Linked DNA regions of Medicago truncatula. The protein of the gene in region 2 binds, or shares a complex with, the protein of the main gene of each other region. Links are inferred from orthologs where the notes say so. Each region holds a gene or a part of one and is shown on either strand. Other genes may lie near its edges.

Region 1 (15,033 bases), on a different chromosome or scaffold from region 2:
AGCAGTAATAGAGACACCAGTGAACTTGAGGCCCGGAGAGGAATGGACAGGGCGGCTTCAGCTCTCGATTGTGCCATCAAGTTTTTGTGGTGACCGTCTCGGTCTGGACAGAAGTGTTCTTTGAGAGAATGGAATTGTACAAAAGCTCATGTTATCGGAATTTCCGTTGCATTTAGCTATGTAGCATTAAGTTACTTGCAGTATAAGTAAGATACTAAATAGCAGTGCTTTCTAGGAGTAATCAGGTTTTCTGTTGTGTTATTTTCATGCTACAAATACTACTTCTAGTTCTAGAAAGAAAAGCCTATGTTTTTGATATTTTGTGAAATTCCTGAGGTAATAAATCAATAATTATATTGGTATACATAAATTCCAAAAACAAAAAAAAAAGTTGCAAAACCAAAATGTTTGGTAGGTAGTGTTTGAGAGGTTAAGTTTTGACTTGTGACGTCAAAGCTGATTTGGAACATGAGATTTAAATGAGTGATTAAAGAAAGAACGGTAGAGCATTATTTTGGACCTATGGCTATCACAAGAGATAAAAAAACGCAAGCGGTTTTGTTTTTTCTGATGGTAAAAAACAAACAACCAAGTATATAAAACACAACTTGGTTTTCTTTTTTGTCGTAACTAAACAAGTGGCATGAAAAAAACAAAACCTAAGCACTTAGACAAGTGGTATTAAAGAAAGAATTATGAGAGCAATGCACTCTTCTAGGTACATTCTCTTTTAATTAGTTGAAATTTAAACCAATTTCACTAAATATAAAGAAAGAATTATGTGATAGCAACGGACTCATCTAGTTACTTTTGGATGGAGGGAGGCTTATGGCATTTTAGCTTATTTAATTATTTGTTGGAGAAATTTTTCAAGTGGTTACTTTTGGAGGGTAGGGAGACTTACGGCATTTTAGCTTATTTATTTATATACTTTCTTTGGAGTTAATTGTATTTAGTTAATTTTAAGTGGTTTATTTTTAGAACTAACATTGTGTTCGCTAATAAACGAGGTACCTGCTTGGCTAAGGTGAAGATATGTCAACAAAATACTAATTAGAGAATAAATGAGACAACTACATTTTCAAATTATACATAAGGACCTAGAAGTAATGAAAAACAACATACAAGTTGACATAGATGTTATTCATGCGTGATTTAGTAGACCTACTTGAATTTAAAATGAGAGTTTGCTAAGAATAATGTGTTATATATATATAGTTTGTTGTTAACTCCTCTCTAAAGAGTCATTCAATACACAGCTCATAACAAAAAAACTACTTCGATCATGTTCGTCAACAGCGAAATGAAACACCTATTGAAATTTTTTGGTATAACAACAATTTGAACTGTAAATATTTCCAGCCCGATAAATCAAAGGAAAGATGGGGCAAAATTTTAATTCAAGCTTGGTTAAATGAAACAGAACACTGTTGTAATGAGTTCAATGGTATCCTGAAAACTAGGTGACAACAGCATTTAAGCACGTTCACCTCTACTTGTTCCTGCCTGAGTCAGTACCGTATGCCAACAATAGAATTCTAATAAATTTTTTTGAAGAAAAACTGCATAACTGACGAAAATAAGAACCTGCAGTTCAGGAAAGATACGACCATCAGCAACAACCACCATAGCATCAGGTTATATGTATAACATGAAATAAACCAACATGGAATGCAAACAAAAAGGAAGCATTACTTCTATAAAACTATGAACCCCTGCGATACTCAAGTTGCTTTGTGTTCTCCAGTAAAATCTGTCAATCAATAAAGAAATTGGGAAGTCAGCTATGAAATGAATATGAACCATGTTTTTAGTTTTTACTACTATATCAATCACATGAATGAGACAGATTCTTACTTCTCGGATGTAGTTTGCAATTGCTTTGCATCCTTCCGTGGCCAGTTGCATAACATTTTCCAATATATCAATTGGTAGTTTAGAATCCATCTACAGTAAATAACGAAATAAATTAGTCCAAACAAAATTTGATGTCCCCTAATCCAAAAATGAAGTAAAAGCCACACCCAACTGAACGCCGCTCAATCAAACTATATGCTTTCCATTCTAAATTATGAAACACGGCAGCTAGTTCGTACGCAAGAGAAAATACAATGAAAGAAACTGGTGAAGAAAATAAATGCACTGCCTTCAACAAAATATGTTACAGTGATCTATTTCTGTTAAAAGTTCAAGTTCTCAAATCTTAATCAGCTTTTATGATAACAAGTGCACACACTGAAGTCAATAGAGGCCGCTATTGCGGCGTTGTGTATAGTACAGTTTTAGAATATCAGTCTAAATTCGGAGAGCTAATGAAAAATATGCAATCAAGAAAATAAAATATGTTGCTGGAAAAAAATGGAGGTCTGGGAAGTTTAAAAAAGTATAACAAAAGGTAAGGAATCTTTGTATTTGGTCCCCCGGAAATGAGGGACACACTTCCATAGGGGCATAGTATGGAATTATAACATGCAATATCACAAAGTATGCCTTGACTTTCTAACAGGACTATAACTCCTATTTTTTCCTCTATAGTGCAGTTCTCACTTCATAGGAGTCAAATCAATAATCTAGGTCTAAAGATGAGAACAATTTTGGAAGGAGGGACGGAAAATGCCGACAGCCTTTATGTGACTGCTAATTGCCAATAACAGAGCAAGAGAGAGAATTGAAAGAGAGATAGGTCCTAAAGATCCTAAAGCCTCTATACAAAGGGTAAATACCTGCAGTAAGGACATAATAAACTTTCACATTTAAGCAAGACACTACACAATCCATAACCTAGGACCAGGTTACGAACATAAATAAACTCATTTTTTTCCAAGTTAATTTACTTCCCTGACTACAAAACAAATATGGAGAAAATTTACCTGAAGAAGGGTCACTTTATCTAACTTCGGCAAAATTCCTACAGTTACATCAGGACCCCCAGCACTGTCTTCTACATAGTTCAAATCTGTCCATATTCATTCAGCAACTTTCAATTATTATGATAAACCATGCAGTACTAAATCGAAAGTTCACTATTGCAAAAAAAGACAAAGCACCCTAGCTAAACACCCAGTTAAAATTTTCAGTAAAACATACATACCAAGCAGAGGGGTGCTATTGAGGTATCCAGCACTACAGGACGTTACAAGATCAAGCATAGGGATCCCAGCATCAGCTAGAGCCAAAGTTGCAGCATTTATACAAGCAGACCTAGTTCCTACAAAAGGCATGTTACGAACAAAAGTTATATAAAAGTACAGAGACCCGTTTTAAATATTGCTAACAATTAACAGGAGATTTTTTTAAAAAGAGCACAAGAACAAAAATAAAATACATTAACAAGATGAAAAAGGATCACAAGATCCCAATATCAGGCATGAATTACCTCCATCTGCTTGGAGAACTTGGACATATATATCTATCTGCAAATTAAATAGCCAAATCATTTCAAAAAGAAAATACACAATTTACAATGATTAAAAAAAATAAGGTTCAGAGACTATAATAGAACCTGGGAACGGGGCATTAAATGTGTCAATATGCATTCTTCCATGGTTTGTCGAATAACCAGAGAAATTTCAGTTGATCTCCTGTAGCATGAGCAAAAACTTCAATCAAATATATAAGAAACAAACAAGAGGCTGTCCCATACCAAGGGTTATGGAACATTGCAAGAACAACCAATCTAATAAACTCTGAATGACAAACAAATGGAAGGAATATTTATATCTAAATAAAAAATTGAGCACCAAGTTTGTTAGGAACAAAGGGAAAGAAATGGATAATTGATAGAAAGAAATGAAGAAAGAAAAAATTGAACACATTTTACTTTAAGAATGATAATAGGAGATGAGACTCGCTTCGCTTCTAATGGTTTCACTTTCACAAAACTCCTTTGTCCTTTCACAATAAAACAAACACATGTATTGGATCCCTCTCCCATCCTTATGTCTCCTATACATACTTATCCCTTTAAACTACTTAATTTCTCTACTAACTAACTATTTAGTTAATTTATATCCCTTCTAACTAGTTAACTTATCTTCTTAACTAAATAACTATAAGGATAGATCCTAACAATACCACTCCCCAAAAATCTACCTTATCTACAAGGTTCGCGTATTCCAACAGATAATCTCCTCACCATGTTTCTGCTAAAGGTTCCTTCAAAATCAGCTGGTCCCTGGTAAGGTTCTCAGAGTTCAATGATCAGCCGTGCCTGTTTCCAATAAACCGTTAATATTTCCAGCTAAGCTCATGTATTGAGCTGCTCAACTAGAGACTTTTCTGAAAGATAAGCTGCTAAACCATAATAACCCGTCATACAAGCAAGGTTGGCAGCACTTTGTTTACCAGGGTTTTGTGGAGTTGGATCCTTGACAAAGGCTTTACTTTGACAATCAACAGGCTTACTACCATTTCCTCTCTTAATATGTTACCCTATTCACTTAGAATTTCAACCAAACCAGCATTTACATTTCATCACAACAACAACCAAGCCTTACAAAAAATCCCAGCAGAACAGGAAGACGTAATACAATTCTTAAATTCCACACCTCTTTCGTAGTTTAATTCTTACGTGTGCAAAAAGATGGAAATGTCTAATTCATAATTGCAAGTTATTCTCAAGAGTAATCATATTATTTCTACGCTCACTCTTGTCCTATCAGTACAGCAGTACTATATCAATTAAGTAGGAAGTATCAAGATCAGGCAAAAAGACTGGGAAATTAAACAAGTAAATAAGAAATAACCTGTCGCCCTTTGGTTTCCTCATGCGATCACCAGTGCTAAAATTAGCCATGCTGTATTCACATCGAACCTAGACATGGAAAGAAGAAAAAACATGATTAAATAAATTTTCAGTGCAATGCATCTAAATAAACTAAGAGTACACCCAATGTATTATATTATAACTTAATAGAAGAAAGATACCAGAGCCTTGTCGCTCATTTGTTGGCTCCTATTTTGCACCTGAAATATATAGAAGAAACTGTAAAAACGGCAAAGTCGTCTAAAGCTCAAAACTTTAGTAACCAACAAAGCTGATTATTCCCTTAGAAAAGATATGAATCCATCTTAAATTTACAAGAACGAACATGCATAAGCAAGTAAAATGGTTATAAAGTACCTCTCTAGGGCCATAAACAGCAGCAATGACTTTGGTATTACCCATCTCGAAAATAGCAGAGCTGGATTTACAATGAAAAAGAAGTTTGTGGTGAAATGCTTTGAATAAATATACTATTAAATATAAAAAAAAAAAAATTAAAAAAAATTGAGAAAGATAAAAGTATCTACCCATCAGCTTTGGATACAGCACCAATCTCTGCTCGAATTTGTCGCATCTAGGATTGCATAAAGAGGAGAAAAGAGACACAGTAAGGTAAATTTGATACGTGAAATTAAAATACAGAAAGAAAATTAATTGAAGAAAAAAAAGGGGAAAACAGCAGTACTTCCATGGGTCGGCGACCATCAGAGCGAAGTCCTTCTGGGCTGACGTACTCCATCTCAGGCAATGTTGTTTTCCGTTACTCTGTTCTTTGATCAAATCTTCCAAACCCTTATGCGAGTTGATAAGCTAAAATAAATAAATTCACTTTTAATTGAAGCAAATAAACATTCTATTCAGAAACCAACAAACCTGTGCTCCGAGGCGGCTCACTGCAGTGCCAACGGTGGTCGGCGGCGGTCTGAGACTTGCGCTTTTTTGGTGGAATCAGAGTTCAGAATTCAGAAGAGACTAGCTATAGAATCTTGCGCCAAGTTTTTTCGTTTTGCCAAAACGCTGTCGTTCTATTCATTTTAAAACGAATAATATATGTAAAGTCTCGTATTTATAAGACAAATATGGGACAATGCATAATATATGTAAGATTTGGGGTTTAAATCTCGGTCACTAACAAAACAAAAAAAGAACCTAGCATGATATGATAAGAAGAATAATTTAAAAATTAAATAATTAAAAAAGACATAAAAACTTTTAGTGAATTGGAAAAAAAAAAAAAAAAACTTTGTTATAGTGATATTGGTACGAAGTTGCGTCATCCATTAACAATGATTAATCTCTCAAAGAACCTATGAAGCACACAGATATGAAAGTTAAAAAGTAAACAAAATTCATTGGAAACAACAAATTTTCTACCTTCAAAGAGTTAAATACTTTGTTTTTCTACAATTTTCAATGTTTCTATATTTGTTTTCAACTTTTCAGCATGTGTGCACTAAACACATGATAAAATAAGATTTATTTCGTCACTATCGCATTTTTATCCAACTTCGTTTCATACCATATGTTTATCGTATCTTGCACACCAAACGAACACTTGGTCTATATAATTTGGCTTTATTGCAATTTTAGACTTTTAGTCTCCCTTTTATTCAATTTCTTTATTCTGCTCTCCCAATTTTTAAATTCATAATTTTGGTCCCTTAGTTATTCTAATTTATGAAATTGAATTTCACATTCCGTTGATCGGGCACAACTATAAATGACATGTCACTAAACTCAATGCACACATGGATGTCACTTCACATTAACTATTTTTAAATTCAAAAAAGTTTTATTTATATTAATATTAATTAGAAAAAATCTTTAAAATTGGAATCCTCAAATTTTTTTTGATTAAACTCAACGTAGACGATGTCTTTTAAAAAAAAAAATCAATTCCTTATTTTTTGAAATTTCTTTTACTTATTTATTTGAAATTTACTATTGATTATTGAATATAATATTTACAAGTAATAAAATTTGAGTTTAATAACATGTGGCATCCATGTGTATACTAATTTATTTCCATGTCATCTACAAATATGCCACATCAACGTCAATTGTAATGTTGGATTCAATTTTAAAAATTGAATAAATTGAGGGACTAAAATTGGGAATTTAGAAATAGCGGGACGAAAATCAATTAACCCATTATATTTTTTTAAGGAGGGTAAAAATGTATTTAACAACTAAAAATCCCTTCAAAAATAAAATATTGTTGCATTTTGTCCCTATGTGGCATGGACACAAATAACGTGACAACAAATTTGTCCTCTTCCTGCTCCTTATCCCCCTCTCATGACCAAAGACTTTGTATGTTCCATTCTCTCTTCTCTTCTCTTATCCCTCATGCAACGAACAACCTTCATCTTTTCTTTTTATTTTTCTTCCCATCCAATCCAAGATTTAGATCTAAAACCACCCACATTCAACATTTTCATTATCTTCAACAACATCATCACATTATGATTAATCAATATCAATCTCATTAATCTTATCAAATCAACCTCATAAATCATCATTAACACAAAATCACAATGCAGCAACCATCGCCCGAACAAAAACCAATAATACTACCAAAACCACCTTGTTATAGAGACCCAAACATCCAACAAAAACCGCTTCCAACACGAAACCCTTCTCTCCCACCTTCTTTCCGACCAAAACCCAAGAAACGTAATTATTGTCGCCTATTTTGTTGCACATTTTGCATCATCTTCCTCATTCTCTTCTTCCTTTTCATCCTCGCCGCCGCAGTTATCTACATTCTCTACCAACCTTCCATACCAGAATTCCACCTCGGTTCTTTCCGTGTTCCAAGTTTCAACATAACCACAAAATCCGACGGTGCTTATCTCGACGCAAACACGATAACAATGGTGGAAGTGAAGAACCGTAATGCAAAAATGGTGTGGCGTTTTGAACAAAGTAGTGTTCAGATATGGGCAGATAATGGTGATTTGAATTTAGGATCGACGAAGGTGGCTGCGTTTGATGTGAAGGTGAAGAATAAGACGGCGGTGAAGGGGGAAACGAAGGTTAGACATGAGGAGTTGAATGAGAAACAAAGGAGGAAGTTGAAAAGTGCTTTTAGTAGTAAAGCTTTGGTGCCTAGTGTTGAGGTGAAAACAAGAACGAGTGTTAGGGTTCAAGGTTGGAAATCCATGATGATTGGTGTTACTGTTGTTTGTGGTGATGTTACTTTGAGACAGATTCAAAATGGTGACATGCCTCCTTGTTCCTTCACTGTATTCAAATGGTAATGCATGGTAACGCCATAACTATTCTATCTATGTTATATGATGACCCTCTTCATCACTTGTTTAGTTAATAATAATCTTCATTCATGTTATTCCATTTGTTTAGCATTTCATCTTCAAATTTTATTGGTTTTGTTTAGGGAAAGACTTGTTAGTTGTGTCATGTTCTCCAATGAAAATGCGGTAAAACTTTTATCAAACCATTTTTCAAAAGGTGACAATCTGCAAGATCAGACTATCCAAATTTCAACCTTAAAATGTTAATATCAAACAAAAATAAAAAACTATTTTAAGATTTGAACTATTCAATCTTGATTGGGTGGTCCCATTTCAATGTGTAAACTTTCAAGTAGAAACAAAACATAAAAACCACCAATTCAGACATACACTACGTTTTACCTATAATGTAGCTTTGAAATTTGCTTGGTTTATTATCATTTGTTTTTGGATGACCTTGTATATATATGTTTACTTGTATATTTTTCATCAAATGACTTGCTATTCTAACTTAAGTTGTTGATGGATTTGTTTATGATTGATTACAGGATCAAAATATGATGAGTTGGGGATGTGTTATTATACAAATCTGGATATGGATTTGGCAGATTGATCGATGTTCATTGCGCAATTCAGAAATGAAGGTTTTGTGATCATATTGGATATCTAAATTATTTTTTTGTTACTTCTTTTTTCTCTGTTAAGAGATGAAGGAAGAATAAAATGAAGAAACATGTTATTTGCTTGGAAAAAGAAAAGGGTCTCATCTTCAGCAGTTCAACTTGCTGCTTTGGTTCTCCCAAATGTGTATTGGGAATTTAGGATGTACATAATTCGATAGGTTGTGTACAGTATCAAATTATTATTTAGTATTAGATCTAATGTGATTGTTGAAAGGATCAATCACTCAATCCCTCTAGAAAATGATAGTGACTTTGGAAGTCTCATTCTTGAGGATATATTGTTGGCTTTTGTTTCCTTTCACCAATCTAAAAAAATAAAAAATTGAGAAAATGTTATAGTTCTTCACTTTGTTTTAATAAAAAAAAAAACATAATGTGGTGGGTATGCAACTTGGATTTGTCGAGGAACAAAGATGCCCCCTCATCCCCTCTTATTAATTAACTATGAGAGAATTGAGAAAAGGAAATAATCAGGTAGACAATTAAACAATGTTACCTTTTTAAGGTGTATGTATCATTCTCTTATGAAACTATGGTAATGGGAGAGCTTGAGGACCAAGACTACCTTGAGAATCAAAAGGTGAAATATATATGCCTATGGTTAGTGGCTAAGAGAAGGATATGAGATCTTGACATGTGATATATCTTGACAAATATGTTGTATCTGTTTTTTTTTTTTTTTTTTTTTTGTCAAGTAGTCTAGTGGCTAGAGCTCACACAATTTAATTGTGGAGTGTCCGGGATTCGAACCTCGGCTCCTGCATATAATATGCAATATCCCTACCAACTGAGTTAAGCTCACGGAATTTTTTTTCTTTCTTTCTTCCTTGACATGGATCAAATGCAAATTTTATGAGTATATATGTGTAGTTTGTGATATATGTAAGTTCATTTTATGAGCAATGTCCTTCTCTTGGTCCAAAAAGAAAATTGACATTGTCAATTACTTCAAATTAGTCTATTAAGAAAATAATGTTGTAAATCGTCATAATCCTGGTAGGCCTTTGATCAAACTATATAATTTAACCATAATGCTATATATTAACAAAGAACATTAATACGTGTTTTAAAATTTTAAAGGAATTGATTAACAAATTCAAAATAATAAACTTTTTTTTTGGCAACCCGTTTTGAAGCCTAAAATCTTAGCTTGGTTGTTGAGTCCGACCTATCTTAGAGTACGGGATCCATACCTAAATACAATTTTGAGGAATATTGGAGGAGTAATGACTAGGGCAATTAATACTTGTTTTTTCCCTCGTATTTTCATCCATTGAGAAATCTCCACCTTAAATCCACTTTTGTTTTTTAATATCAAAGTCTCTCTCCCCCAACTAAATCAATGGTTGAACTTGAAGTCCTCGTGAGCTTAACTCAGTTGGTGGAAATAATGTATAATATATGTAAGTTTGAAGTTCAAATCCCGGCAAAAAAAAAAAACAAGGGTTAAAATAGAGATGTATATAAAATCTCATGTGATTGGAGACAATCGTTTCACAATGTTCATTTCTTTTTTCCCTAAAAAAAAAAACGTTCATTTCTTTTTAAAAAATATCAAAAGACAACAACGTTTTATGTTTTAATTTTCTAAAATAAGTTTTCCGTTAAACTTGGTAATAAAAAAATATGGGACTCTCTGATTGATTCTTTATGATGGAAAGAACATGGTGTGCCTTGGTGCCAAGTGACTGAATTCATGAGTGCTTACAACAATGCAGTTGAAGGTGAGATTAATTTTAATATATCAATGTTAAAATGACCCATGTCTATCACAAAACTAATAAATTTGTGAATAAAAAAAAAAAACGTTATTCAATCATTAACTACTCATATAACTGAGCTTATTGTTGATGATTCTAAAGTTACGTCGGTCACCGCCTTAATTTCTACATAGTTTTCCATCTTTTATGGGCTTAGGCCTATTGAATTAAATACCCAAAAATATGGATTAGCTGAAAAACATTATGAAATAATTATTAATTAATTAATTTAATTTTTTTCTTTTCTTATAAAGCACCACTACCACTAATTGATTTTTTCTTTCCCTTTTCTTGTTTGGTTGAAGAGGCAGGTCTCCTTTCCCTCTCTCTTCAACTTTTTTACTGTTTAGATCGAAAAACTTCGAAGGGAAATTCCAATTCCATGGCCTCCAAACGGATCCTCAAGGAACTCAAGGACCTTCAGAAAGATCCTCCAACCTCTTGCAGCGCTGGTAATTTTATTTTTTTTGTCTTCCCTCCAACCCCATTTTATGCTTTAAACACCCCTCATGCTTGGATCTATGAATTTTTCACTTTTATCTTTATGGGTATTCATCGTTTTTCCATTTGTTTCATGGGTTTGTTATGTTTTTCTTGATTTCGTTTTGTGTTGCTAGTTTGTTTAGGATCTTTGATGCTTTATGAATGATAAGCAACGATTTATAATTTTCTTGTTTTTTGTTAATATTGTTAAAGGTGTGATTTTTTTGTCTGAAATTTTAATTCGTTTTAGAAAAAGTTTAGTATGTTTGGTTGGATTCACGTTTCAGCAGCAAAATTTGTTTCTAGAGTTGTAAAATTGATCTTGACTTATTTGATTGTTTTCGAATAGAATTGATTTTGTTTCTTGAATTAATTACATGTTTGATTTCACTTTTGGAGGATACAAAATTGATTTCATAGGTTGGAAATTGATTTTGACATGTTTGGATGTTTTCAAGCAGAATTGATTTTGCCTGAAGAATTTATTTATTCTAATTTGAAGCTAGAATTTTTAGGTTTTGATTTCTACAATTGATTTTAGCCTTGAATTTATTTTTCAATCCACTTTTTCATGGATATGTTCAAACTTCAATCATAAATTACTTTATATTCAACTCACTTTTTGTCACAATCAATTTCACGCAATCAATTCATTCAAAATCAATTTGTGTCAACGTAGAACTAATCAAATGCATCCCAGAGCTGAAAACCTGTTTTTGAACTTTAAGCGTTGACCCTCTATTGCGTTCTATTAAGAATTATGATGGATTATAGAAGCTAATTCAGTTATATCTGTCTGTGTTTGTGAAGTCCAATTAGATGCATGTCTTGTAAGATAACTATTGCTTTAAGATAAAGCTGATTTTATCTTCCTAATGTTTGCAATTATTATGTTTCTTGAGTTGCAAAAATGTATTTATCAAACAATCAGATGCAAATTGTGTTGAGTCAGTACATATTATTTGAAGTCTGTTAAACATTTTTACAATATTTTCTGATGCAAAGTTTGTTTTTTCTTGTGTGTTTATCCACCACCTTCACAGGCCCTGTAGCGGAAGACATGTTTCATTGGCAAGCAACTATAATGGGTCCCCCTGATAGCCCTTATGCCGGAGGAGTTTTTCTAGTTACCATTCATTTTCCTCCTGATTATCCATTCAAGCCACCCAAGGTATTGGACTTTGTTTTGCTTGACATATCAGGATTCATATCAGATTTGTGTGTTCATAAAATAGTTGTTTTTAAGCCTTTATCTATCATACTTAACCTCCTCTATTTCCTGGCTGGAAAAAAATTGTGAGAGCTTTTCCAAATACAAGCTTTGATATGGCTAGTTGTGATTTCTAAATCATGCAAAGCACAATTTGTTCAGTTTTAAACCTTTTTTCTCTTGCAGGTTGCATTTAGGACCAAAGTTTTCCACCCAAATATCAACAGCAATGGTAGCATTTGTCTTGATATCTTGAAGGAGCAGTGGAGCCCCGCTTTGACAATATCTAAGGTTCTGCCATTGCTTAACTCATTAACTCAATTTTTTTCAAATACACCACTTGTGTTAAAAAGAAATTTTGCAGTACAACAACAATGATAATACATTTTTGCAACTCTAGAATATGCGTGTTTTGGTAGTGAGTCTGGTAACTTTGAACTTTATTAGGTTTACAAAGGAAACTACATATGTAAAACAAGTTGCAAATGCTAAACATTTTTTGAGCATCTTATGATATGTATGTTGATGATGTTTACTCCACATAATCAGGATTACTGATTGATAAATATGCTTTGAAATATCTCAAGATAGCTAGCGACTACTTTACTTGTTACCAGTTTTGCATTTATGATGAATTCAAACCAATTTCAAAAAGATTATTGGTGATGTGTGCAATTGGTCGGACCTTCACAATCCTGATGTTGGACTTTATTAGGTTTACAAAGAAAAATATATATGTAAAGGACAAGCTGCAAATGCTAAACATTTTTTGAGCATCTTGTGATATGTGTGTTGACTGTTGATGATGTTTATTCGGCATAATCTGGATTATTGATTGATAAGTATGCTTTGAAATATCTCAAGATAGCTGCCTGTTTACTTGTAAGGTCTTTCCAGTTATGCATTTACGATGAATTCAAATAAATTTTAAAAAGGTTTTGTTGATGTGATACAATTGGTTGTACGGTCACAATCCTGAAGTTGTCACTATAAATTCCGTTCCCCTTTGTGTGTCATTCTTTTATCATTGCAATGCACGGTTAATTATTCTTTCTGTTGATTTATTATTATTACTGCTGTTTCTTAAGTGGGTGGGAAAGGTTTGTGTTTGGTTATTTCAGGTGCTGTTATCCATTTGTTCCCTGTTGACGGATCCAAACCCAGATGATCCCTTAGTGCCTGAAATAGCTCATATGTACAAGACAGACAGGTCCAAGTATGAGACCACTGCTCGGAGCTGGACTCAGAAGTATGCAATGGGCTAGCAAGAATGTTGGAAGGTTGATTGCTCTTCTCTCCCCTTATATGCTAAAAACTGTCAAAATACCCTACCGGAGCTTCCGGTAAGATTCTGCATTTTAAGCGGGTTGGACGAGCAATCACTTGTTGGAAGTATCTGTTCCTTTAGTTCCATTTGTTAAGTGTCATGATGTATAATATCATATTATATCTCTTTTCATTCCTGCCTTTAACATATTGAAGGGTAGATCTTTCTGTGTTTCCTGTCTGAGTAACAAAACGATTGTTTGTTTGTACTAAAATTCTGCTTCTAATGTGAAATATCTGAACCCAATAATATTAATATCATATCTTTTAAGTAAATCAATGTATCACGATATGCAATTACGAAGAATAACACTTTAAACATTACTCGACAAATAACCTTAATTTTTTGATGGAAATGACCAATTTTCTTATAGCAGAAAAATAACCTAATATTATTATTTTATTTTTTTTAGGGGAAATAACATAACATTATTTAGAGTAAAAAAAAAAGGAGAAAATAATTTTTGAGGTAGACAAGAAATTGGTATAGATGTATTTTTTTTTATGCATTTTTACGGGTAAGATATGACTTGTGGACAAATTTATATTAGGCTTAAATATGATTTTCGTCTTTGTAATTTAGACAAGTTTTAATTTTCATTTTGAAAAACATCCCTTTAATTTTTATTTTGTTTGAAAAAGGTTCCTGAACCTACTTCCGATTTGATTTGACATTGTTTTTGCCACGTGGTAGTTGTTGATTGTGCAACTTTTGCCATGTGGCGCTGACGTGGCATGCAACATAATTAATTTTTTTTTCTTCAAAATTCTGATTTTTTTTTTTAAATTAAAATAATCTGAAAAAATTTTGAAAAAAATTGTTAAAATTTAAAATTTTGAAATAAAAAAGTGAAAATTAAATTTTCAAAAATTAATTCTTTTTTTAATTTGAATATTATATATTACATTTTTTTTTCGACAATACTGAAAATTATATTTACAAAAGTTATAAATTTTGAGATTATATAATTTTAAATTTTATTTTTCTTCATATTTTAATTTTCAATCATTTATTCCAATATGTAAAAAAAAGTAATTTTCAATTTTTTTCTTCATATTTAGAAAAATATTTGAATTTTTTAATGATTTTTTTTAATTTTAAAAAATAACTTTTAAATTTTTAATGACATGGACTGCCACGTGTCAAAAGTTGCACAATAATTAACTGCCACGTGACCAAAACCATATCATGTCAGCAAAAAAGTGTCAAAACATGGTGAAAAATAAATAATTATTTTTTCTTTCCTTAGATCAATACGAATTTGTCATATTATTCACTGATATATATGAATATTACCTCTAAGTGCAGAAAACATAGGAATATTACATCCAAGTGTAAAATGATGACGAATAACGGAGACAAATAAGAGAGAGTCCTTATATAGTTATCCGTTTCTTCACGGGGACTTATTTTTTCTTCCTCCAATGGAGGATCCTTAACGGGGAGTGGTCCTTGTTTAGTAAGGACCTCTCATTGGAGATGCTCTAAGAGCATCCAGAATGGTAGTTCCTTAACAGAGACTCCTTAAATGGACCTTCCGTTACACAT
Region 2 (16,033 bases):
ATTAACTAATTATATTCAAGCCTCGGAAAGGAAAAAAAAACTCTCTTTCAAGTTTCAAAAACACAATCCGTAAACAATTAAATCAATAAATATAATTATATCTCACTTTTTTTTAAGAATAATCATGTCTCACTTGATCTTTTAATATGACTGATTGATATAATGGTAGAAACAAATTCATATATGGTACAGCTTAACTCATTTATGTAAGATAGAACTAGCCTAAATTTTATCATTTTGTGTCTGTCTATCAGAAATTTCATCCCAAAACAGTGCTACACCTTGACCAAGAGGACGAAGAGGGAAATATAGAAAAGAAAAAAAAGAATGAAATAGCTCCTATACTATTCAATAGTATATCATATCATATATATATTCAATTTTCAACATGTATATCCTTCTTTGAAAATTATCATGGCCTGCCTCAAAAAACCATTGCTGAATTCACCTGAACTTCAAAGAACTCTTCAACACCCTCTCTTACGTCCAAGAACTCACATTTTAACAGTCCCTTTTTTACTTCTCTCTCTGTTTCTCCTCTCAGTATCATACACTACACACTCTACCCGTTACAGTTACACCAGTACCACTCCTTCTCTTCGTTTACCACTTTCTTTGAAACGTGTATTGGCACATGCACCATTCACTTCTTACGTAGTTTCAGAAGCACAGAGCAACACATTCTCTTCTGTTACGGCAGCGGAAAGAACACGAGGAAATCCAACATATAGTGACTCACAAGACCTCAGTTCATGTGATATCTTTGATGGCTCTTGGATTCAAGATGATTCTCATGAAACTGTTTATCAACATGGTTCATGTCCTTTTCTTGATGATACTTTTAACTGTTTCAAGAATGGACGTTCAGATTTTGAGTTTCTTAAATATCGTTGGAAGCCACATGGTTGTCAAATTCCAAGGTTCTATAATTTCTACCTTGTAAAATTCGACATACCAATGTACCATGTTCATTTTAATTTATTTGTGTTGTAAATTTGAAGTTTTTTTCTTGGATAAATACATATAGGTTTGATGGGTTGAAAATGTTGCACATGTTGAGAGGTAAGAGAGTGGTGTTTGTAGGAGACTCTTTGAACAGGAACATGTGGCAATCTTTGGTGTGTGCTTTGAGAGCTTCTCTTAAAGATAAGAGCAGACTCTATGAAGTTTCCGGACGCCGTGAATTCAGGATTCAAGGTTTCTTTTCTTTCAAATTCAAAGTAAGGATGTGTTGGCTGTTTTTCTTGAGAAATTTGATAGAACTTTAGCTTGCTTAAGGTTTAAGGTTTGATATTGTGTTTTTGACATGTTGTGATGTTAATTAGGATTATGGATGCTCCATAGACTTTGTGAAATCCCCGTTTCTTGTACAAGAATGGAAAGTGTCACGTGACGATGAAGTTCCTCAAAGAGATACTCTTAGGCTTGACATGATTCAAGCTTCCAAGTCTCAGTATTATGATGCTGATATAATCATTTTCAACACAGGACACTGGTGGAATCATGACAAGACAAAAAATGGGTAAAAATCAATTCTGCTAAGACACTATTCTTTTACTATTAATAAGTAGTTCAAAGGCTAACTACTATCAATTTTCATTCTTGCAGTAGAAACTACTTTCAGGAAGGTAATCATGTCTATGACAGATTAGAAGTTTCTGAAGCATTACAAAAGGCACTGAAGACATGGGCTAAGTGGGTTGATTCCACAGTTGATAGCACACGTACAAGGGTTTTTTTCACTGGATTTTCAGCTTCTCACTACAAGTAAGAAGAATGTGTACTTCTACTTTGTTTTATCTTTACATCTCTTATCTATTATGTAGTTAAGTAATTGATTCTATGGCTGAAATTTGCAGAGGGGGGCAATGGAACTCTGGTGGTAAATGTGATGGGGAGAGACAACCCATTACAAATGAAAGCTATCTTGCAGCATATCCATGGACAATGGGAATTGTCGAAGATGTTATAGCAGAGATGAAGACACCAGTGTTTTATCTCAACATTACCAAAATGACAGACTACAGAAAAGATGGGCATCCTTCAATTTATAGAGAACCAGGTTTCAGTGATAGCAAAGGCCGTAAAATGGTCCAAGATTGCAGCCACTGGTGCCTTCCTGGAATTCCAGACTCTTGGAATGAACTCCTCTATTCCACTCTACTTGTAGCTCACACAAATTTTATTGCTTCTACAAATTATTAACCATGCGATATGATCTTACTTAGTGTAAGAGAGACATAATTTTTAGGAAAGTAACTTGCACACCTATAGCCGTGATTGAACATTGCAGGATAGCACTTGTTACTCAACAAGAATACTCATATCCTTGTTACAGTTCCATAGTTAGATTCAAAACAAGTGTATACTTTGATACACAACTTTGTAATTTCTCCAGTATACTTTTAACTATATAGCATGATTTCTGTTTTTATTTTTACGTAAGTTGATGACGGATATAATGAATTTAACTTTGAAAGACTCCTTCAATGAAAACGTTCTATTTAACCCACATAAATTAAGTTTGAGATAAACTATTTCGACATAATAGACCACTACAATTTAAATAGCTCCATAAAATTTTGGTCTGAGTTTACAATGAAAGAAAAAGTATGAAAATATCAATACTCATTTTGCCATGATTTAGTATACAAAAGGAAGATTCATAGACAACCACCCATAAGAATATAAGATGATGCACAAAAACAAAAAAAACAGACATGTGTTGTAGGTGTCACTCCTGAAAAGCAAGGTGGCAACGGCCAATCAGAAAAACACTTCACCCCACATCTCCCAGCAGGTGCAAGAGCTTTAACATAAAAAATAAGTCCATCCAACTTTTAAGTGCCACCCTACAAAGTATCAAACATGATTGAAGAAAATGACTTGCTACAGTTAGAATAATTCCTTTCCTATTTTTACCCCTGCAAAGGGATAATAAAACTTCGCTTTCTAACCACGATTTCACAATCTACCGCTTCTTTTTATTTGAGCTTCTCCTTTCTGCCTCTTTTTCGGCAACCAGAACACAGAACTCGGAACCAAGCATGTCGTGTATATCAAGATTCGCAGAAAGGCTGAGATCAATAACTCCCTTGATGATTTCCGATGTTATAATGAATCCTAAAGTGGATAATCCTCTAACAGCATTAGCAGCCCTGCATATGTACTTTCTTGTCTCCAGTGCTGTGTACTTTTTCTCTTGTTCTTCAAGACTCACAGAATTTTTATTGGGAGTTAAAACCTGTGGATCAGATTGGTTCACTTGATCTTCTACCATGTCATCTCTGACTTCAACATGTTCCCCAACCCATATGAACCCATTACAGCCAATTATTAAATCAATACCGTACTGCTCTAGATGATGGAAATGTTGTTTCTGCCTCTTCACTAAATACGGTGTGACTGTAAGCAGTTGACCAGTACTAAGCTGCAATAACACTCAAAGCCATTAGTAACAGTAGTAAATGGCTGAAGAATAAATTTGAAATAAAATTTAAGAACCCAAAACGTATTACAAAATACAAGTGACAAACCATACACAAAATCACTACAAGTGCCATAGCTATCAAAATAAAGTAAACCCCTGATTCCAGGATTCTTGCATTACACCTCAATCATAAACAGGTAATTCTAATCCGTTCAGTTTTATATTTGTAAGCAGCATGAGTTTTTAAAAGGTTTTCAAGAATACAAACCTTTCCATATTTTTGACTTCTTGCTTGAAGGTGTAAGCCATCATGCTGAAAACCACGAACTTCAGCCTGTGGACATAGTTTAGGATACTCAACTGCTATTTCCTTCATAAAAAGTAAATTTTAAGAAACATGGCAGCACTTACACAAATGACATCTGCCTCCTCAAAAATACAGCGCATATTTAGCTCATCTAAAGCTGTCCTTCGCCTCTAAGTGGAAAGAAAAAATCTAAATGAGGGATTTTCAAGCTTAATTGGAAAAGAAATCCAAAAATATGACACAGCATATAAAAAAATAAATAGACCCAATCAAAACTGAAGATGATTGCACCTTGTTCCTATTTTTGTGCTTATAAAAACTCGAAGGACTTAACTGCTTGATAAGTGATGACCATAATTGTTTTACAATTGCATTTGTTTGTACCCCTCACCCTGTTCTATTAGTTTCTTTGAAGTTTAAATTTTAAATATTTTTTCTTGCGTGATTAGTGTTTCTTCATGCAGGCATAAAAGGTTACACCTAAATCAGTATACCCACTTCATGAAGACCGACTTCGATGACCATCAAATGTTGATCCAGACCAAATACACAATTCAGGTCATAAATAATGTTTTAAGTCCAATTAGGGCTGGAAATGAGCCGAGTCAAATCGAACGCATCTGAGCTCGACTCGACTCGTTAAAAATTGGTTCAGCTCGAAACTCTACTCGAGTTCGAAACAAACCTTTTTTTTAGCTCGTGTTCGGCTCGCTTAAAATTAACGAACAGACCGATTCAACTCGTTCAGTTCAGTTGTACAACCCACTTGGTTATATAACATCAAATTTTTTAAGATCCAAAAATTTACTAGAGGTCCTACCAGTTCTTGTTTGGCCCATATCAGAATTTTAAGCCAAACAATGCCCCAGAACTTAAACCAATCTCATTCGATAAAATTTAAAAATGAACTAAACCAATTCAATTTAAACAAAAATTGGCAATAGGACAACACATTAATTCACAATAGTGAAATTGGGCCCCAATTGTTACTTTGATCAATACTGTATCACTCTTTGATTTATAGGCAAAGCGTTCTCTCTACTGCTTACCTACTTTCGATGTGGGACATGTGAAAACAAAGAAATTATACTTTGTTACTAACAAGATGGTTTTGTAATTTATTATTAGATGTGGCACTATTTCATTTTTTTTCTTCTTCTCACAAGCCAAGTAACATAAGCCTCCACTGTATCTCCAACTTCAGAATTTCAATGGAATTTGGCAATAGTAGGGAAGCTTTATATGAGTAAGACTGCCATCAACTAACTACCTTTTGCAATAGCCTTACAACATCCATGAGTAGGAGTACCCACTCCCTTTTCTCAAATGTCAACATTAAATCAACGGTTCTGCCATCTTTACGAGGAAAGAAAGATGAACTCTTGTTAAGAGAATTGCTCAGAAGATGGCCAAATCACAAAGAGAGGACATGTCAGCGCTCAAAGTATTTCAGTTATCTTGATAGATACCATGTCCGAAGACATCAACTTCCTTCTCAACAAGAAATTGGCTTCTTATCCTTCTATTACTTGGTATATGATGAATTAAATAAACAAGTAATGGATGCAATATTAGCTATGATTGACCAGAAACACGCGAGAGAACGGTTGATTTGATGTACTCTTGAAATGCTTCCTTGTACTTGTCATACAATTGTTGAGAAAAGTAATGACTAAATTAGCAGTCGGTGCACATATTATGGATGATTGTATATATCACCATGTAGTCTTTAGAGGTAAAGTGCGGCTTCTAGTCTTTATGGATGATTGTATATATCACCATGTAGTCTTTAGAGGTAAAGTGCGGCTTCTAGAATGTTCTCGAGCTTCTTGAAAGCATCCTGGATAATATTCCATCCTTCTTAGATATCAATAGTCTTGTGGTCAATGTTTTGACATGTTGGCGAGAATTGAGAAAAATATCAAAATCGAATTTACATGCATTATTTTGTTGTGTCTCCTCTTTTTAGAAACATAAAGGGACCAATAGCATAAGCTCAATAACTTATCTAGCACAACCCAACCAATAAAAATAGATCACCACCCAAAAACTCAAAATCCACCTTACTACTTTCACATGGTCACTCCATTACAAAATCACTTTTAATTCTTACTCTCAAAATGCCAATTCATCCACCCAAAGCAAACCTAACAACAAACTTGCAATATTATTCAGACTCCTTTACTCCCAAAACTGTAGAAATTTTGCAAGCCTCTCAACATGGTCTAGTGTAAAAAAATCAGCCAAAAAACCAATAACTTTCCCCCTTCCTAACTAGAGAACACGACAAAGAACCGAACAAAGTCACTACAGATGGAACAATTTGTAATCAAACACTAAACTGGTGAATCAATTTCATCAAAAAAAACCCCAAAAAAATTGAGAATCAGCTACTTCTTCAAAAAATTGGAGAATCAATTACATCAAAAATCCAAAAATAGGAGGCATGAAGCTTGCAGAAGAGAGATGTTCTCTGCAAACACGAAGGAGAGAAGAATACTGGGTTTCACGTGCAAAGACCCCATAATACCCAATAACGTTTAAAAATTAAAGGCAATATGGGTGTTTCTAGGCAAATCGCATGTGCGTTTGCAAACCCACCGACCTGCGAACACACAGAACGGCCGCAGCCTTAATATGAGCTGCACCAAACCACACCACAGCGGCCAACCATGCTCCGGCGCACGATCGCGCCGGAGTCGCAAACCACTGCTATTGACTACCAAGATGCATACAACTGTACAAAATAGTTTTCACGTTTCAATTTAAACTCTACACTGCCCGTAGGTGCTATCACCACTTCTAAGTGTCAGGACCAAATTGAAAATTTTGTCTCGTATATTAAAAATAATTACTATGGCGTCATTTGATCCATGTAGCCGACCCCACTTAGTGGGATAAGGCTTGGTTGTTGTTGTTGTTGTATATTAAAAATAATTACTGTATTTTCATGCCCTAAACATGACAGCCTTTTCAATTTGGTTCCTATACTTCATAATATCTCTATTGAATGTAATGTCATGGAGTTACAATGGCAATAGTTAACAGGACAGAAGTTGAATACAATTGAAACTATATGACAGGCTAAATTGAACACTTTTTAACCGAGGGAGCAAATTAAAAATTACTACCCCTGCATAGAGAAACACACAGTTTGACATATATTGTAATTAATACTACTAAGCACGTGAGTGTGCATACTATAGTCAAATAACCTCCAGGATGAAACCAGGTCAGTAATACAGCAAAAAACTCATCAATACTTGCAATGCTATCACAGTTGTCAAAAATTAGATAAATTGTAATCCACACACTGAAATAGTTTTTGTTTTTTTATCTTTCATTTCTGAAAAATAACTAACTATGATAAAATTTCTTAAGGAAATGGTCCTAAATTTTGAAAAAGGAACGGTTCTCGTTGTCTGCATAAGGGAGATTGCAAAATACCTGTACACCATCAGGCATGTTCATAGCAGAAAGCATCAAATACGCGTTTTGACTGTAATTAATATCCAATCTCCAACGCTTCTGAGCAACCTACACAACACAACAAAGACCAGTAAAATTCCTAGAGTTAAACAAACATTATCAAATCAAATTCAGAAAATGGTTGAAACTATAAAAACTGTACCTCAATGACACGCCCAATAACAATGTCACCAACCTCAGGTTTGTACCTAAAATTAAGTCACAATATTCCATTAACAAACAAAAACATAACAATTAAGGAAGTGGAGAAGCTATGAACTCATGAAGACGTGTCAGTGTGTGCTTCGTAGGTTAAGAAGTAAGATTGATTACCTTGAGCGTAAAGCGCGGACATAAACAAGCTTGTTAACACGTTCAACGACACCACATAGAGTGGCGACGACTTCGCCGTCGAGATCAGCGGTTCCGTGTCCCTTGAGTACGCCGTCTTCATGGTTGACGGGGATGGAATCGGCAATGGTAACTGAAGAATCAGAATTGACCTTGGAAGAGAGAGACTCGAGGTGTTCTAGAGCCTTCTGTAGACGGAGCTTTTGAGTTTGACTCAACTGTAAATGAATCCCTCTCATGGTGGCGGTGTTGCGGTGGCTTAGTTCAGTCGACGGAGGAAAGCGATTGAGGGTGGTAGCTAGGGCACAGCTTCTTCGGTTCTCACTTCGATGTGTCCAAATTTAATAATTCACGGCGCAAGGTTTTTAACAGGGTTTATACTTTCTTTTGTTTTTTGTCCGAGATGTGGTTTTTTTTAGGTGGGTCCCTTCGGGTTGGGTGGGCCGGTTTTGGGTCATACTGATCTAACTTATTCCTAATCCTAGTTAAAGAATATTGCTTTTTAGGCCCCCTAAAGTTACAAAAATGCCCTAAATAACACATCCTATACTTAACTACCGTATGTGCATTTTTTTTAATGTAACTGTTTCACCTCCGGTACATAAGTACCGGACATATATTTTGTTTCTGTTTTCTTATGGAGGACAAAGAAAGAAGATGAAAGAGAAGGATCAGACGATGAAGTTGTAGGAGGTTGTTTCTTTTGCGGTGCTTTTTTGTTGTGACACTGAATCCATGAAATTTGGCTTCCTGTATCCAATACCCATTTGTTGAAGTTGTGGTGGTGTGCCAATGGGAAGAGTCAGAACAAGAGCCATAGAATATTTGAAAGATGATTTAACATTTATGGAAGAAGAAGATGAAGATGAAAGTGTTGTGAATTGTTGGTTGGTTTTTGGTTTGGAGTTTATGGAGATTTGAAGAGAGGTTAGAGACTAGAGGGAACGAAAGGGAGAATGAGTCATTTACATGGTGATTATTAGGTTTTGATGAGAAACATGTGAAGAAAAAGAATGATAAGAGAAGAAGCATGCACAGTGAAACAGAGCCATTGAAAAACAGAGGAAAACAGAACACGGGTGTTTTCTTTTCTTAACCCGCATGAACAAGCTTCAACACGTTTGTGCATACACGTCTCTTGGTCGGCACCGTCATACAAGCAATAAGCACTGTCGTTGTTACCTTAGATGCAACATTGTCTCCGCCGTTGTCCTGGTCATTGCCGCCCAAACCACCATTATAACACCAGAATTGGTTGCTGCCACATGTTGCCAACCACTGCAGAATCACCACCAACAATTTGTCTGTAGCATGCGACTTGTTTCAAAACGTTTACCTGTTCCGACTCGACGTCGACATTGGCGGAGAGAGCACTTGGGGAGGCACTGGCATGGGAGGATACTCTTTTTACCACCATTAGAGCGTTGTAATGTCAGATTACTTTCAATGCCACCATTGAAAAGTTGATTACTAGGTGCGATTTCATGTAAAATGTTATTTCAAAGAAGGAACAACAACGTTACAATTGGTATAAAAAAGAAACATGGTCATTTTTAATAAAAGTAGAGTCCTGATACACATACATCCCTAGCTGGCAACCTCCCCTTATACACCCCCCATGTGGCAAGGCAATATTGATATTTTAACATTAAATGAAGGGCATTTTTGTAAAATCTTTAGAAAACTACCATCTTTCCCTCTTCTCACCTACGTGTTTACTGCCACTCCATCTGGCCTTCACATTCGCCGATAAGGCCACACATCACCATACCCGCCGCCATCACAGACACACGCACCACCATCTTCATCCATTTGGTTCTCCCCACCTTTTCTCTCTTTGAACGACCTTCATCCACCACCCTCGACCCCACTACATCTACCCCACTGCGTCTCTCACTCACTCGCGTTGCTTTTGTCTCTTTTTCCTCGTCGCTACAGTGTTCCCCCCCCCCCCTCTCTCTCTCTTCTTGCTGAATTTCTCTCTCATAGCTGGCTGTTGTCCCTCTTTCCCCGGTGTCTCTCTCCTCCGCCTTCTCTCTCTCCGGTGCCCGATGGTGACTCTTTTGATTATTGCGTTTTTGGCAATACTTCCATCTTTTTCTCTTTATATTGAGTTTGACTGTGTTGTTTGGAATTATGCAAAATTAGCAATTTTTCTCTCAAATTTGATGATTGTTCTGTTAACAAATGAGATTTATTTGATCTTATTGTGTTGATATTACGTTCTCCCTATTTCTGGCAATCATGTGTTGAAGAAGTAATGTTGTTGGCATCTTACCCTGTTTTTTTTTCTTTCAAATTTCCCACCTTCATATCTATAAGTGATGATTGACACTTTGCCGACTTGTTGCATTGTGTTGTTGTTACCCACATGAAAAACAATTTATTTTTGTTAAACTAATGGCTTAAACATGTTTTGATTCAGTAAAAATATGTCTTTGAAAATGAGAAGAAAATTTGGAAGTAGAGTGAACAAGGCAGGGTGAGTGTGGCTACGAAAGAGAAGGCAGAGTGAAGAAGATACAAGATCTTTTACAGTTTTTAGATGTTTTACTTCAATTTATGTTGTATCCTATATCACAACCGTTTGATTGAATCCAACGGCTTATAATGGTGCTGCAGAGACTCTGGAGAGAGAGGGGAAATGTTTTGGCGGGATGGGATGAGTCAAAGATTTTGACCACATGGCAGTGTGTGATTGGATAATGAAGGGTGTATGTAAAGTGGTATGAAAAAGGGTGTTCATGGATAATTATCCTAAATATGCAAGATAGTAGTTAACAATTTCGTGGGATTTCACCTGCACTTTAGCATTTTTTTCATTTGGATAAAAACAACTATATATATGTATAATACATATCCGGTACTATGCACCGGAGGTGAAACAATCTTTTATTTATTAAAGTTAATCGAATGATAATTGTTGCCCTAATTTTAACCTAAATTCAGTACTTGCTTACCCTTTTTAAAATATCAAATTGCATAAATCTCTTTTTTTTTTTAAAAAAAATCATTTCCTACTAAACAGATAAACATAAAAAATAAAAAATCACTCCTGTTAACAAATTGTTCCTATTTTGTTGCAGAAATCTCCTATTTTTTGAACAAAACAAATCACTTTCTTTAAAATAAAATTTTGCTAATTTCGAATTTGACATTAGGGTATGAATATTGTGTAAATTATAGTTGATTTTGATATGTGATTGTGTGAATTACAACTTTTTCTTCATTGTTAGAATAGTTTTTGTTCTTTTTTTCATTGTTAGTTTTTGTAATAGTTATTTTATCTGTGTTTCAGTCTCAATTCAATACCTTGCAACCATGCTACTTCTCTGTTTATGTTCTTCTACTTGAATTATGGATGAATTTATGAACTTTTTTTTTTAATTCTTACCTTTTAATGTTCTTAACTTTTTTTATTTTATTTTGTAGGTTCTAATGAAGGTCCACGCAGTTATAGTTACTTGAACTAGGAGAAAAAGAGCACAGGTATTGAATTTTAGTATCCAAAATTGATAATGATTGTTCTAAGGTGACAACTAGGGTATCCATAGAAGAATGGTGGGTAATTTACCCCAACCAATACACATTAGCTACATAAGCACATTTTTAAGTGGTATCCATTAACTATCTTGATCCCACCAACAAATTTCTCATTTTCATTGGTTGGTGGATAAATTATCCACCATTCTTCAAAGGTAATCTAGAAAAAACCTTGTTCTAATGAATCTGAACGTTTCAAGGTTCTAATAAATGTTTTGAATTTTAGTATCACACCATTAATTGACTCTTTTTTATTGTGTTGTCTTTCTTTCTTTCTTTTATGTAGGTTTGATTTGTGATGTCTTGAATTCCTCGGTGCAAATGTGCTAACAATTAACTATTGAAGATTTTTAATTTTAAGATTCCTGTTTCATTTCAGATATGATTCAGTATTTATACAAATTGGATGTACGTTTCCTTTCTAAATTTGTATGTTTTTGATTTTTTCTGTCAAGAAATATTCTTTACTAAATTTTTATCAAGACATATTCTTTCCTAAATTGACGAGAAATCTAAAATGTAATTTTCATTTGGTTCTGAACATCATTTGCTTAACACCATTTTTATAATAATTCATTTTGCTTTGAACTTTTAAACATGTTAACTGCTTTGCTTCATATGTATTAGGTTGAAATATGGATGAGTTCTTTTTTCTTCATCATAAGTTACATAATGGTTGAAAATGACACAATCATAAGTATATAATACTTTCGTGGTAAGCATAGCTTTCCTCTTCTATCTCATAATTGAATTTCCTTCCTACTATAATATGAGTAAATGCGGCGTACTTTCCTTTTCTCTTGCAGGCAGAGGTACTTGGTGTTGATCCAAGAGAAGTTAATGTTCCAGTGGTAGGAGGTCATGCAGGAGTTACAATATTGCCTCTTTTATCATAGGTTTTGTAAAGGATACTTGATACTTCCTTACTTAAAAATGATGACATCGTTAAACAAGTCACTGAACCTTCTTCAAACATGTTTTTTAAAGGTTAAGCCTCCCAGTAGCTTCGCTGCAGAAGAAACCGAATACCAGACAAATCGCATTGAAAATGGTGGAAAAGAAGTTGTTGAGGTAATGTCATATCCCTTACTCCTTAATGTTATTAGGTTAGCAATCACTTAACCCTAAAAATTTCCCGCTCAAAATGTTGTATTAATTGTTGTTAGTGTTAACCCTAATTCTTTCAATATTCCACCAAATGAAATTCAAAAAACGTAGCAATATTTAACATGCCTTTTTATTAATTTGGTGATACAATGAACTACATTTAATTAATTTCTATTGTTGTGCCGTCTGAAAAACACCAATCTCTCCACTCAGCCTCTCTTTTCGATTTTCAATGCATGTAGAATGGTATCCCAATTAAGTTTGTTTTCTATATATACATGCATGTTTTTGTTTCTCTTGGTTTCATCCTGGTTGTTTTATTTCTCATAACCAATTGTCTATTATCAAGAAAAAAAATGTCAAGAGCTAGACCTGAAACACTTTTGTCCTACCATGCACTGACTGGTAAAGCAATGACATATTACGTTTGGATCTGAAAATAGTGGTTTTTTTTTCTAACTTTTCTTTTTCGTGTTTCTTTAGTTGGATCTTTGGTGAGTAACCCTGCTACTGAATTGGACAAAGCTGTCAACAAGCTCCGGACGAAATACCGCTCCTATATTGTCGAATATGATGTTGAGGATGTGGGTTTTAATATTTTGTATTCATAATCACTTCATTTGTTTTTGCTTATACGAATTTTTGACATTTACATTTGTTTTCTTTGCTGTAGGGCGCTGTTAGGTTGCCTAACCTATTTTCTGCTGACTTTGGGGATGAGATTAGCCGCTTTGCCACCTTGATAGACACAAAAGAGTCTTTATACCTAGGCTATCTCTATCACCCTCCGATGTGAGAATCCCTTTTAAATTTCAAAGAAAACAATTTCCTTTGGCTGTATCATTTGCGATGACAATCAACAAGAGTCAAGGACAATCACTACAAAATGTTGGAGTATATCTCCCGTGCGCCTGTTTTTTCTCACGGACAATTGTATGTTGCTGTTTCGAGAGTTACATCTAGAGGAGGTTTGAAGATATTGATTACCGATGAAGATGGTGATGACACAAATCTGACATCTAATGTGGTGTATGAGGAAGTATTTCGAAATGTCTGATGTACAAGTCACATATAAAATACCTTACTTTTACCTAGGCTTCATATATAATACTCTTGCATTACAATCCATCTGTAACTATCTTCTAAGATGTTCTTAATTATTATTACATATCATCCTTTATACCTTTTCCATAAATCTAAAGTTTATTATATTTTAAAGTCACCTATGGCTTATAAGACCCGTGCAGGGCACGGGTCACTTATCTAGTAAGTAATAAGTTTATCACCTAATATGTGATTGGAGTATTAGAAGGACAAACTTCTTAGATATCATGTCCTTGAACCTATGATTCTTTTTTCTTGTTTTTTTATGGAAATTTGAACCTTTAGGATTGCCTCAAAGAGTCCTAACTAAAATGTGATTTCAAGTGTTCATTTGATAAAAGATTAATTACAGTTAACTTAAAGCTTCTTCATTCTTGAGTGTGGGATTCACATTGTTATTTGGATTGATATAGTTTTTTGCTCTTTGATATGTATTCTTTTAATGTTGCAGCTACTTCATGCAGATTTCTATCGAGGCATTTCCTCAAAATTGTTGCAAATTTATCTTGGTGGATGAGGGTGGAGAACGGGTTCCTTACACGTGCAGTTCTGCTTAACATTTGATGGCTTAAGTCCCTATCTCCTGAAGAATTACGAGAAGCGGCTGCAAAAAGAATGAAATTTTTGGTTTCAAGATATAGTGGACAATTGATTGCATGGGACGTTGTAAACGAGAATGTCCACAACCGGTTTTTTGAGGACAAACTCGGCAAAAATGCCTCTGCAGTATATTATTTAACAGCTTACTATCTTGATTCGAACACCAGCATGTTTATGAACGTGTTTAACACCATTGAATTCAGTCAAGACCAAGTTGCCAGCCCAGCCAATTATATCAGGAACTACTGGAATGCTATTGGCTATATGGGTGCAAGGCCATTTGTCAAGCGGCATGCCAAACATTGCTTACATGAGGTCAGGTCTAGATCATCTTGGTGCAACTGGACTTCCTATATGGCTCACTGAAAGTAGTGTGGATTCTAATCCAAATCAGGTATTTCCTATACTTTAAAAGTTTATGCTTATTACACAAGTCAAAATACAAAGCTGCAAGATTTAAAACATAAGATGCATAGTTTAGCTATCTATTTTCGTCTGTTAGTCATAGAAGTAAAAGAAACAAACCTGAATTTAGCAAACAAATTTTTTAGAAGTATTAGTTTCATTAGCTTCACTGGCTATATTATATGATATGATCAAACAAGAAATGATTATTTTTTTGCTTATTTTTGTGTGTTGAGCAGACAATGTATTTTGAAGAGATACTAAGAGAGGCTTACTCTCATCCAGCTGTTGAAGGGATTATAATGTTTGTAGGTCCAGCGCAAGCCGATTTCATCAACACACAACTTGCAGATGCAAATTTTAAAAATACTCCAACCGGAGACGTTGTGGACAAGCTTATTGGTGAGTGGGGAACTTGAACTCATACAGCCATATCAGACAATAGATAAATCGTAGATATTTCACTACATCATTGAGATTATGATGTAACTGTTACACATCCTCTAATCCAATACTCCAAAAAACTGAATATAAGTGTAAGGAAAGGATTTTCACCGGAACCTACCAATGTAAAAATGCATGCCTAAAGAGCAACCAACTATTATAACTCCTACTGAAGCTAGCAGTATTTAACTGTGTCAATTTTGAAAGATTATTATTGTAATAAAAGGGTTTTGAAAGATTATAGCAACATTTTTTTGTTAATATTACACTTTTCATCCAAATTAGAAGTGAACTCTCTTTGTTAAATATCTACCACAACATGCACCAGAATTTTGCAATCTATATAAACAGGTGGAAGAAACATTTCAACAAACAGTTAAAGGGCATCATTTACGGCTAAGGCCAAATATTCGATAAAAGAAAAATTATTTAAATAAAACCTTTTACATTTTTTTTTTGAGGGAAAATAAAACCTTTTTTTGAGGTATATAATATAACATTAACATATAATTTTTACAAAAGAATGAAGTAGCATTTTGTAAAAAAAAAGAAAAAGGATGAAGTAACATAGCAAATAATATAACATTGACATATAATTTTAACAAAAGAATGAAGTAACACACTATTGATAAAAAATTAATATTTTTAAGGTGAATAAGTATGGTGTCTGAGGTTCGAATTCCAACATCTGCATATATTTTGGACCACATGTTTCATTCTCTTTGATATGCATTGAGATTTGCTATTTCATTCTCTTTGATATGCATTGAGATTTTTTTTTGTCTACTACATCTACAAGTGGAAAGTCTAGTTAAATTATAAAAAATGCACATGCAGTGGTTAAATACCAGATGTGTTATAAAGGACATTTTTGTAACCTTAGGGGGCCTAAAAAGCAATCTTCACACTTAAAACCCTAATTCTACATTTTTAGGCGTCAATCAGTATTACCAATTGGATCTAACCCTGTTTATGACAGCCCTTGATCTAATTTGATTCTTGCTCATCCCTCAACTGCATTGTAAATGACAAATAATTAATGTCTTCTTTTCCAATACAGATATCTATCTCGTTAGGAACCATGACTCAGACCTCACCCTCCTTTCTCTCTCCCTCTCTCCACGATTCTTCATCTCCCACCTCTTTTCCCCTTAAACCGTTGTCTTTCTCCTCTCATCCCTCCCTTCACCAATGCTCTCGGTTACGACACCATCCTCACCGTCTTCGACTCTACCGGCACCTTCTATGCCGGAGGCTTCATCTGTTCTCACCTC

Evidence for each region.
Region 1: exosome complex component RRP4 homolog (region 2) and exosome complex component RRP41 homolog share a complex: the UniProt entries of both Arabidopsis thaliana proteins name them as parts of the RNA exosome complex. The link is inferred for Medicago truncatula from reciprocal best matches to the Arabidopsis thaliana genes RRP4 and RRP41.

The regions. Positions count from the first base shown.
Region 1 is NC_053048.1:55,307,127-55,322,159, forward strand, and holds exosome complex component RRP41 homolog, read right to left. Parts: upstream 5,793-15,033; 5' UTR 5,639-5,792; exon of another isoform or gene 5,558-5,638; 5' UTR 5,505-5,557; coding exon 5,451-5,504; intron 5,340-5,450; coding exon 5,293-5,339; intron 5,184-5,292; coding exon 5,123-5,183; intron 4,966-5,122; coding exon 4,927-4,965; intron 4,814-4,926; coding exon 4,746-4,813; intron 3,582-4,745; coding exon 3,503-3,581; intron 3,414-3,502; coding exon 3,377-3,413; intron 3,209-3,376; coding exon 3,092-3,208; intron 2,957-3,091; coding exon 2,871-2,956; intron 1,948-2,870; coding exon 1,858-1,947; intron 1,754-1,857; coding exon 1,706-1,753; 3' UTR 1,696-1,705; intron 1,588-1,695; 3' UTR 1,187-1,587; downstream 1-1,186. Other genes in the region: putative glucose-6-phosphate 1-epimerase, read left to right, coding at 1-124; uncharacterized protein, read left to right, coding at 7,303-8,024, 8,571-8,583; ubiquitin-conjugating enzyme E2-17 kDa, read left to right, coding at 10,848-10,917, 11,992-12,119, 12,345-12,449, 13,280-13,423. UniProt on the Arabidopsis thaliana protein: Non-catalytic component of the RNA exosome complex which has 3'->5' exoribonuclease activity and participates in a multitude of cellular RNA processing, maturation and degradation events.
Region 2 is NC_053045.1:58,352,585-58,368,617, reverse strand, and holds exosome complex component RRP4 homolog, read right to left. Parts: upstream 7,916-16,033; 5' UTR 7,796-7,915; coding exon 7,539-7,795; intron 7,415-7,538; coding exon 7,369-7,414; intron 7,275-7,368; coding exon 7,185-7,274; intron 3,908-7,184; coding exon 3,842-3,907; intron 3,765-3,841; coding exon 3,699-3,764; intron 3,431-3,698; coding exon 2,972-3,430; 3' UTR 2,538-2,971; downstream 1-2,537. Other genes in the region: protein trichome birefringence-like 4, read left to right, coding at 415-920, 1,028-1,220, 1,326-1,522, 1,609-1,767, 1,860-2,205. UniProt on the Arabidopsis thaliana protein: Non-catalytic component of the RNA exosome complex which has 3'->5' exoribonuclease activity and participates in a multitude of cellular RNA processing, maturation and degradation events.